2 linked regions of the Macaca mulatta genome follow. Each later gene encodes a partner of the first gene's protein in a complex. Links are inferred from orthologs where the notes say so. Each region holds a gene or a part of one and is shown on either strand. Other genes may lie near its edges.

What was found. The genes of interacting proteins can lie anywhere in the genome.
Region 2: the proteins of CAPZA2 (region 1) and S100A1 are in contact, whole or in part, in an NMR structure (PDB 2KBM), measured with the Rattus norvegicus proteins. The link is inferred for Macaca mulatta from reciprocal best matches to the Homo sapiens genes CAPZA2 and S100A1. Residues at the interface, in NP_001009180.1 of Rattus norvegicus: Thr267, Lys268, Ile269, Asp270, Trp271, Asn272, Lys273, Ile274, Leu275, Ser276; in NP_001007637.1 of Rattus norvegicus: Ser44, Phe45, Leu46, Asp47, Lys50, Asp51, Ala54, Lys57, Ile58, Glu61, Leu78, Ala81, Leu82, Thr83, Ala85, Cys86.

What each region holds. Positions count from the first base shown.
Region 1 is NC_133408.1:156,397,164-156,402,515, forward strand, and holds the start of CAPZA2 (F-actin-capping protein subunit alpha-2), read left to right. Parts: upstream 1-2,117; 5' UTR 2,118-2,220; coding exon 2,221-2,259; intron 2,260-5,352. UniProt on the Homo sapiens protein: F-actin-capping proteins bind in a Ca(2+)-independent manner to the fast growing ends of actin filaments (barbed end) thereby blocking the exchange of subunits at these ends.
Region 2 is NC_133406.1:113,404,784-113,410,109, reverse strand, and holds the start of S100A1 (protein S100-A1), read left to right. Parts: upstream 1-1,783; 5' UTR 1,784-1,842; intron 1,843-3,859; 5' UTR 3,860-3,872; coding exon 3,873-4,013; intron 4,014-5,326. UniProt on the Homo sapiens protein: Small calcium binding protein that plays important roles in several biological processes such as Ca(2+) homeostasis, chondrocyte biology and cardiomyocyte regulation.

The sequences.
Region 1 (5,352 bases):
TTAAACCCTAAGGCCTTACCACTCAAAACGTGGTCTCCAGATCAGGAACACTGGCATCAGCTGGGAGCCTGTTATTCCACAGGCTGTATTCTGGAGAAAACAGATTCTCCAGCCTCATGCCAGATCTATTGAATTAGCAACTTCATTTTCACAAGATTCCCAATTGATTCATATATATGCAGCTTTGATTACATGTTTAATCTCTCATAAACTTCAAGCTTCAAAAGCAGGGTTGCTAGATTTAGCAAATAAAAGTAAAGGATGTCCAGTAAAATTTGAAAACAATGAGTAATTTTTAAGTATGTCTCCAACGCTTCATGGGACATACTTTTCAAAAGATTGCTTATCTGCAATTCACTTTTGATTAAGTGTCCTATATTTAATATGGCAACCCTATTCAGGAGGGTAGGATCCATGTCTAACATAACTTTGTATTCCCCTGGAATAGTACAGTGCCTTCCCCAACTGTTTTTGTTTTGTTTTGTTTTGTTTTGTTTTTTGAGACAGAGTCTCGCTCTGTCACCCAGGCTAGAGTACAGTGGCGCGACCTTGGCTCACTGACACCTCCACCTCCCAGGTTGCAATGACTTCTGCAACTCTCCTGCCTCAGCCTCCCCAGTAGCTGGTATTACAGGCATGCGCCACCACTCCAGGCTAATTTTTGTATTTTAGTAGAGATGGGGTTTCTCCATGTTGGCCAATCTGGTCACGAACTCCTGACCTCAGATGATCTGCTGCCGAGACCTCCCAAAGTGCTGGGATTACCGGCGTGAGTCACCACGCCCGGCCCCAACTGTTCAATATATGTTTGTTTAATGAGTACAAAAATGAGCTTCTTGAGAACAGAAGTTTCTCTTTTTATTTCAATAGTTTTGGAGTACAGGTGGATTTTTGGTTACATGGGTAAGTCCTTCAGTGGTAATTTCTGAGATTTTAGTGCACCCATCACCTGAGCAGTGTACCCTGTACCCAATATGTAGTAATTTATCCCCTCCCCAGTCCCCAAAGTCCATTTTATCATTCTTATGCCTTTGCACACTAACAGCTTAGCTCCCACTTATAAGTGAGAACATAAAATATTTGGTTTCCCATTCCTGAGTTACTTCACTTAGAATAATGGCCTCCAGCTCCTTCCAAGTTGCTGCAAAAGGCATTATTTCGTTCCTTTTTATGGCTGAGTAGTATTCCATGATGTATATACCCACATTTGCTCTATCCACTCATTGGTTGATGGACACTTAGGTTGGTTCCATTTCTCTGTAATTGCGAATTGTGGTGCTATGAACAGGCGTGTCTAGCTTGTTTTTTTCCCCCTCAACACTATAGCCCCAGAGACTAACACAGTGCCCCGCACCCCGTTAAAGGACCAGAAAATATTTGTTGGATGAATAAAGGAATATATAAAGAGCAATCTTTCAATTATGGAGCGGGTCGTGTGTGTGTATTTTAATGAAAGCCGACTATTTAATTTTTTGTTTGTTTGTTTGTTTTTTGTTTTTTGTTTTTTTTTGAGACAGAGTCTCGCTCTGCCGCCCAGGCTAGAGTGCAGTGGCGTGATCTTGGCTCACTGCAAGCTCCGCCTCCCGGGTTCACGCCATTCTCCTGCCTCAGCCTCCCGAGTAGCTGGGACTACAGGCGCCCGCCACCTCGCCCGGCTAGTTTTTTTGTATTTTTTAGTAGAGACGGGGTTTCACCGTGTCAGCCAGGATGGTCTCGATCTCCTGACCTCGTGATCCGCCCGTCTCGGCCTCCCAAAGTGCTGGGATTACAGGCTTGAGCCACCGCGCCCGGCTATTTAATATTTTTTTAAAAACAATGTTTAAAAAGCTTCTATTTGTCCACCTTTTCAGATTTTAGCTGGCAGAGTTCAAGACTTGATAGAAACATAACGAAGGGCTCAGAATGTACTCATCGCAGACTGAGCCCATATGGTCACTGTGGGGAGAGAACGTTACACTCACGATGCTAGCAAGCCTGCTGCAGGCGGCCCCGGGAGACAACGTCCCCCGCCCGGCCACCAGGCACCCGCGCACGCGCACAGCCGCGCTCAGTCCCCGAGGGCCGGGTCGAGGGAGGCGGGGCTCTCGGGGCGCGTGCGCGGCGACCTGAGCGGCGGGCCCCTCCCTTAGCGGGGGCGCGCGGCGCTGAGGACCGCACGGAAGCGGGGAAGTCAGGTGGCCGCTGCCGCCGCCGCCGCCGCGGTTTGTCGCCAGAAGGAAGATGGCGGATCTGGAGGAGCAGTTGTCTGATGAAGAGAAGGTAAGAGTCGTGGGGGTGGCGGCGCCGGCCGTCGGGAGCCGGCTCAGCCCGGGCGGGTGGGCCCAGAGTCTGGTCGCGGGGGATGGGCATTGGCTCGCAGCTGGCGGTGCCCTCGTCTGCCCTTCTTCCCCCATCCTTGCTGCGCCGAGTGCCTGCCCCTGTCCGTCACCCGAGGCCCCGCGCGGGGGCAGGTCTTTGCCAGGCCTGCTCGCTCCGCTCCTTGTAGGGTGTGTACTCCGAAAATAGGAAGCGGGAGCCGGGCGACGGCGGGCGGGGGCGCGGGCGCGGGGGAGGGCGGCGGCTGCCCGGGACTCTCTCCTGCTATCCGGCCGCGGAGCCTGCGCCGGGGGCCGGGGACCGGGGACGCAAAGGGGTCTGCGTCCGTGCCTGGGAGCGGCCCAAGGGCAGTGCCCAGCGCGGCGGCCTGGCCTGTGAGTGTAGCGGCGGGTGAGGGGGAAGGGAAAAATCGCTTAGGAAGCAGACCTTCACTTCTCCCTTCTACTTCCCCCTCCCCAAAACAAAACGCTTCCTTTTCTGATTCTCTACGGTTTATCCCTTTTTTTTTCCCTTTCCCTATGGAGGCCTCTCTCTCCCCCTCTCTCTTTCGTTTCATGGCTCTAGCAGTAAGCTTTGCAGCTCCCATGTTCCCCGGGAGGCAGCGGAGTTGCTCACAAAAAGACGACCCCTTCCCCATAGTTGTTTTCTGCCCACGTTGTCAGCATTCTCCCCGGGGGTCGATTTGGTGTCACGTCACCTTCCTGCTAGGACTTCTTCCGAGAGGGGAAATTGTTCTACTCCTTTTACTGTATGTCAGATGCTGTGACAGCAGTGGAACCAGATGAACTACTTAAGTTCTCAGATATTTAAAAGGAGCAATGGAATAATTCATTGAACTGCTGCTCTCTTAATTCGCCCCTTTCGTTTGGCTTTCGTGAACGTCCCATTCCTGAGGGTGGTGGGATAGGGGAGAACCCTGCTAATTTTGACTGTTTCTCGGAAAGGACACTGACGTTTCTCAAACTTAGAAGTAACTGACAGAACATACGAGTGAGTTAGTTGTAGGGTTGGAAATGTCCACTCTTCGTTAAAGAGTGCTCCATTTTTAAATTTCAAAGCAGTACAGCCAATGGAGGAAAATACAGGTACATTTAGGTACGTTGTGGTGTTTAAGAAATCCTCGTGTAAGTCTAAGAATATTTTCATTTGGGACCCTCTGCTCTAGGTGTTTTTATATGCTGTGTTCTTGCACCGAAATAGAAGGTTCTGTCCCATTCCCAATGTGAATGGTCAGAAGTCAGCCTCATCTTTATTTTCGGAAATCTGTCTTTCTCTTGTGTTGTTTGGTGAAAGTGATAATACAACAACAAAATGGGGGCGAGCAACGTCTCCATAACCCACAGACCCAGTAGGCAGATCCCTGTATCCACAAAAGTTGCTATACAGTATTGAATGTATAATCTTGGTAAATAACCCTAAGTAGGTGACTGAAAATGTACAGGAGTGCACAAACGCATATTTAAAATTGAGTCGTGCTAAAAAGCTTAAAAAGAGATTGTCGTGTTTTTATTCTACCATTCTTAAGTGGTGATTAGTAGCTCAAGTGGCTAGAAATCTAGCTGAAGAGAGAATACTCAGTGTGGGAGTTAATAAGACCTGCCATGTGTTGTAAAGGCCTAAAATTAAAAAGTTTTTTAAAAATGAGATAACAAGATGCCTTATTATCCGGCACTCTCAGGGCACTAAGCTTCATAAAGAGGAATGAGGAGGTTCTATGTCTTAAAGCCTGCGCCGCCTAGTAGCAAAATGTTTTATGGTTAAATGAATGAAAATTCTAATTTGATTTTTGGTGTTTTGTAAGAATATTATGTAGATATTTTACATATAAATTTCATCACTATATTTACTAATTTAAAAACTGAGAAAACTTTTAGGTTAAATTCAAGTAACCAGTTAAGTGAAATTTTAACGTTCTTGTCAATTGAGATATCTAAAGGTTGTTTTCATTTTGGGGCAGGAGGATGTGTCCAGTATGGGATCAGAAAACAGAGAGGACTTAAAAGTGATATTTTGATATTACTCTTTGTACGCCTTATTGGTAATTTTCAAAAATAAGCTGTCAAGCTGGGCATGGTGGTTTGCACCTGTAATGCCAGCTACTCTGGATGCCAAGGTATGGAGGATTGCTTGAGCCCAGGAGTTGTAGACCAGCCTGGGCAACAAAGCGAGACCTCATCTCTAAAAAAAATATACTAAGTTTTGAATACTTTTAAGTTTTTGAGATTTCCATTCTAGATTGCAAATCTGAGGAAGGGAAGCTGTTAAGATGTATCTAGTACTGTACTTTATATATGCTTGGCTCAGTTAGATCCATTCATTACTTAATTTGTTGTTGTAAGAGGTAGTTGTTCTATTTCCATTTCACAGATGAGTAGAGTGAGGTTCAAAAGCTTTAAGTAGTTCACCCAAGGACAGTCAAGATGAAGGTCTTGTTACATTATGCTCTCTTCTTTTTTTTTTTTTTGAGACAGAGTCCCCCTCTGTTGCCCAGCCTGGAGTGCAGTGGTGCAATCTCGGCTCACTGCAACCTGTGCCTCCTGGGCTCAAGCGATTCTCCTGACTCAGCCTGCTGAGTAGCTGGGATTACAGGCACTTGCTACCATGCCCAGCTAATTTTTATATTTTTAGTAGAGGCGGGGTTTCACTATGTTGTCCAGGCTGGTCTTGAACTCCTGACCTCAGGTGATCCACCTCCCTCGGCCTCCCAAAGTGCTGGGATTACAGGTGTGAGCCACCGTGCCCAGCCGACATTATGCTTTCTTAAACAAAATTGATAAAAACCTCTTCTGGTTTTGTCTCTTCATTTTTAATTTGTTGACAGCTTATTTTGAAAAAGGAGAAACGTTGGTTCTTCCTTTTTTCTTTTTTAGACAGGGTCTCACTCTGTCACCCAGGCTAGAGTGCAGTGGTGATCATGCCTCACTGCAACCTCAACTTCCTGGGCTCAAGCAGTCCTCTCACCTCAGTCTCCCCAAGTAGCTGGGAGTACACGCAGGCGTGCCACCACACCCAGCTAATTTAAAAATTTTTTTTATA
Region 2 (5,326 bases), on another chromosome or scaffold:
GAGGGAGAGGACAGGGGTTGAGCTTGGGGCAGCAGACCAGACAACAGCATCTCAGTTTAGGTGGGGGCAGAAGATTCGGCTCCAGAAACCCCCTCTTCTGTAGGTCTCACAATCTGGGCTCCTTTTTAAATGTCTGTGGCTTAGGGACCCCTCTGTGGTGATGCCTCGATCTAGAGACCTCTCTACTTGAGAGGAGGTTTTCAGTTAAGGGTCCTTCCTGGAGTCCTTCGAGTCTGGTGGCCCCTCTGTGGCCTGTCTGTCTCAAGAGTCCCTTCTTGTCTCACCCAGCCTCACAGGTCACAAGGTTGTTTGTCTCCAAAGCTTGTTTATGTTGGGACCTGGTCTTCAGCCACCCGCATCCGCCCACACACACTCTGACGCTTCTCCCAGCAGAGAAGCACAGGGTCTGGCAAATGTCCCCTGTGGTCAGAGCTGGCTCCGTCTGAACAGACCCATTTTCTCTGCCGGGATCCACCCTTACCTCTCTCCTCAGGGCACCAGGGCAGAGTGCTGAACCCAGGACCCCACAGATCCTCCCCGCTCCTGTCTCCCCATCGGGAGATAAGGGTCCTGGAACGGGGTGTCTCTGACTCCCTGCCCCACGACGGGTTTAGTACAGGCACTCACAGCCCCCTGGGGTGCGGTGGGTGGGGCTGGAAGAGGCATTCTCTTTTCCGTCCCCCCGTCACGCACTCCGGCATGCACTGTTGCTCGATCGTCCAAAGCTGCTTCCTGAATTCCTGTCTGAGCCGGCTCTGGGGGAGGGACCTGGGAGCCCAGGAAGAAAAAATGATCTCCAGGCTCCCTCCAGGGTCGGCAATGAGACTTACCGGGCAAGGAGATGGGGTGGAGTGAGCTGGAGTCTCAAGGCTGAGGTTTATAAGCAGCAGGGAAGGAGAGAGCTGCTTACAAGCCCGGAGGTGTCAAATTTCCGTGGTGGATTCTGAAGACCAGAGACAGCCCAATCAGGCCTCTTGCCCTGAACCCTCAGGCCTGGACCCGGGCTCCCTGCCAGCCACACGAGCGCCCCCACTTGGTCAGGGAGAGGAGCTGTCTGGACAGATTTCATTCAGCAGGGGTCCCAGGGTCCTAGTCCTTTCAATACTGGGGGCTGCTGCCACCACACCCCACGTCTAATCAGGAGTGTGTATGCTGAGGGGGGAAGAGGGAGGAAACCAATTGAGGGAGCTCAACACTGAGAGGCCCAATCTGAGACATACACGGAGGCCCCTTAGAATGAAACCCCACAAAGGATGCTACAGCCCAAGATCCCTCAAAGAACCCCAGGCTGAGGCCCCACACACACAGGGGGATCCAGGTTGAGAACCCCATAGAAGAGTCCTGGATTGAAATCCCTCTGTGGGTTCTCAGACTCCCAAGACTAAGTTACTCACTGAGGGTCCTCTCAGTGAGGCCCCATGGAGGAGCCACAGACTAAGACCCCCTCAGCAGAATTCCCCCCTTACCCGGGTCAACCAGCACAGTCAGCTGCAGGTACTGCAAGGCCCGGCTTGGGGTGAGACAACCAGTATCCCTCCCAGGACCTCCTTCCCACCTCTTTCCCCTGCACCATCCACTGCTGCCTAAAGAGAAGGGAACGGGGCAAGCAAGGCTGGGAAAGAGACAAGGGCCGCCTGTTCCAGCCCAGGAGACAGAGGGCGCCTCTGTCTGCTCCTGGCCCCTTGCCCCACAGGGTGTTCGTCTGTGAAGGGGTGGAGTCGGTGGGGGGGTCAGCGGGGGAGGGACTGTTGAAGACAGGTCTCCACACACAGCTCCAGCAGCCACATTTGCAGCCTCGGCTATCTGTCCAGAACCTGCTCCCACCTCAGGCCCAGGCCGACGGTGAGTACCCTGCCCCACCGGGCTAGTCCCTGGCCTGCCAGCTTCGGGGAGAGGGGTCTTCAGAAGGGCTCCAAGAGGCTGGGGCCCATAGCACTGTGGGGCACTAAGGATCTGGGAGGAGTCAGTCAGAGTGAGGGCAGTTTGGGATTTGGGGGAGACAGGGTTTGGAAGGTGGTGATGAGAGACAAATGAACTGAAGGTCGGAGAGAGAGCTGGCAGCTCAGCAAAGGAGGAAGTCAGTGGGGAACCCACCAAGAACTTCCTGGCCACCTGGCCCTCCCACAGGGAGCCCTCAAGTCCCTGCCAAGGCCCCCTCTGTCTCCCAGGTGTTGGGAAGGGCCCCAGCCCTCCCCTGCCTCGCCTCCTGTGGGGTAAGAAGAAGAGAGCAGATACAACAGCTGTTTCTGCCCCCACCTCTCTTGCCAGCCTTAGTCTCTGCCACCCCCACCCTGCCTTGCCAAGAGCTCAGGTCTCTGGGGAGTCTGGGGGTGGCAAGGCGAAGCTCCCAAGATATGGGGAAGTGGGGGATGGAGGGTGCTGTACCCCTTCCCAACGCTACCTCCACAGGACCTCCCCTTTCTCCTCCTCCCCTTTTTGGCCCAGACCTCTTGACTCCTCTTTCCCCCAATTCTTTCCTCTTTGTTTTCCCATCTGCCCTGCCCCCAAGTCCTCTCAGAACTGCCACCACATAAAATCCCAGGCTGCTCTAGGGCTCCAGGCGACCTCCAGCTGCCCCTCTGGCATGGAGCAGGTAATCAAGCCACCAGCATCCCTCCCTCAAGCACCCCTTATCCCCTCATCAGCCACAGCTTGGGTTCCATCTCCCCCATGTCTCTGTGACAACCGCTTCTCAGGTCCGGAGTTCAGATGACACTCACAAGGGCCCCATTGAAGAACTGGGATGTCATTCGATCGGGGCCATTGTCCAGCCCCCTAGGCCTGGGGAAGGATGGGGACATCTGATCCGAGACACCTGAGCTGCCCCCCCTGGGGTTGCGGAAGGCCAGACTGTCCCAGGGCCAAAGGAAAGAGGCCCCCCTTGGCAGTCTTCTCTCTCAACAGACCCCTCCTTTCTCCTTTCTTCTCCTACTCTCTCCCAGCCCCTTGAACTCAAAGGACTGCATGCTCTCAGCCCTTTATCTCCCCCAACACATACCAGCCCCATTCCCCTTGCTCCCACTATCCCCAAATCAACCAGGAGTGAGCAGTCGCAGGGACAATGCCTGCAAGTCTCCTCTCCCCTTCCCTGGGAACCCTGGCTCCAAGGAAAAGGCTCAAACATTCCTCTCTCCCCTTCTGCCACCCACTAGATGAAAGGGATAATTTTGCAGAAGCAATGGGAGCATACCCCAGAGAAGCCAAAATGACATGTTCAGGAGAGAACAGAGTTGAAGGACCAAAAGGGGCCCCCAGCTGCTGACAGGAAACTCAGAGTCAGTGAGACCTCCCTCCCCTAGAAGCCTTAGGCCACCCGCCCACTGGGGCTGCCACCCCCTCTACCAGGCTGACCGAGGGTACCAGACTGACTTCTTGCTAGGGGTGGGCAGCAGAGGGAAGGCTGTAGTGGACACCCCAGCCCACCACCCTCAACAGCAGAGCTTGGCTATACTAGGCAGGCAAGGTCCAGGGTAAAAATAGAGCCAGAGGAAGCATGGCCTCGTCCTGTGACCACCCCTGCCTGCCCCACCCTCCTCAATCCCTGCCTGGGCAGCCACTGCAGACATCTACCACAGGCCTCTGGAGCCAGCCCAGCTCCAACTGCTCTCTCTCCATGCCCTAACCCTGATTCCCTTTGGCTGGGGTACAGACTGAGGGACATGGAGAACAGGTCTGCATTTAGGTCTGCTGGGGTTTCCCTCACATTGTAAAATCTCAGGGAAAGATCAATTGCAGTTGGGCTTTAATCCCACAGTTATTTGAGCTGTCAGCCAGGGCCAGGCCTGAGGGCTCCCCTCACCTAGACCCTGGTACTCTGGGCCTGGTCCTCAAGGCTCACTTCCATGTTGGGGGTGGGTAGGTGCACTGCTGCAATGGGCTCTGAGCTGGAGACGGCGATGGAGACCCTCATCAACGTGTTCCACGCCCACTCGGGCAAAGAGGGAGACAAGTACAAGCTGAGCAAGAAGGAGCTGAAAGAGCTGCTGCAGACAGAGCTCTCTGGCTTCCTGGATGTAAGTACAGAGTGGTGGAGTGGGAGTGGAGTGGGTGAAGGTTGGGGGAATGGGGTGGGCACCCCCTTGCTGTCTCCCCACCCCACCTCCAGCTCAGCCCAGCCTCCTTCTTTCCTTTCCCAGGCTTCTCTCCTGGATTTTTCCAGGCTCCCCTACTCCAGCTGGGTCAAGTCAAAATGCCCCGGTTTATTGATCACCAATATGTTATTGATCACTATAACAAGTGTTAGGCCCTGTGTAGATTCATCAGTAATAAGACTCACAGACTAGAAGGGAAAGATTGATAATTAAAAGTAAACCATGAACTCCAGGAAGTACACAGAGCCTTAATAGATGTGCCAGAAAGGGTTATGAGAGATTATTAACCTGATTGAAGTAAGATGGCTTTCCTGAAGAGGTAGCACTTGAGCCATGGATTTCCATTGGAAGATTATCTAGGTAAATGCAGACATTTTAGGAGGAAGTAACTGAATGAACAAAAGCACAAGAGAAAGAAGAATGTGGTGCATGCCAGTAGTTTTATTCGACTGGCATGAAGGATATAGAAAAGTAGGCTGCAAAGGCTAACCAGGGCCACAAAGTAAAGAAGCCTCAGGATATAGTAGAAAGTGCATCAGTTTAGGCCGGGCATGGTGGCTCATGCCTGTAATCCCAGCACTTTGGGAGGCCGAGGCAGGTGGATCACATGAGGTTGGGAGTTCGAGACCAGACTGACCAACACGGAGAAAACCCGTCTCTACTAAAAATACAAAATTGGCCAGGCGTGGTGGCGCATGCCTGTAATCCCAGCTATTCGGGAGGCTAAGGTAGGAGATTGCTTGAACCCGGGAAGCGGTGGTTGCAGTGAGCTGAGATCACACCATTGTACTCCAGCCTGGGCAACAAGAGCAAAACTCCGTGTCAAAAAAAAAAAAAAAAAAAAAAAAAAAACGCCGGGCGCAGTGGCTCAAGCCTATAATCCCAGCACTTTGGGAGGCCGAGGCGGGCGGATCACGAGGTCAGGAGATCAAGACCATCCTGGCTAATCCGGTGAAACTCCGTCTCTACTAAAAAATACAAAAAACTAGCTGGGCGAGGTGGCGGGCGCCTGTAGTCCCAGCTACTCGGGAGGCTGAGGCAGGAGAATGGCATAAACCCGGGGGGCGGAGCTTGCAGTGAGCCAAGATCGCGCCACTGCACTCCAGCCTGGGCGACAGAGCGAGACTCCATCTCAAAAAAAAAAAAAAAAAAAAAAAAAAAACAAAGAAAGTGCACCGGTTTTGAGGTTTTATTGGACTGGGTTCAAATTCCAGCCCTGCTACTTTCTAGCTGTG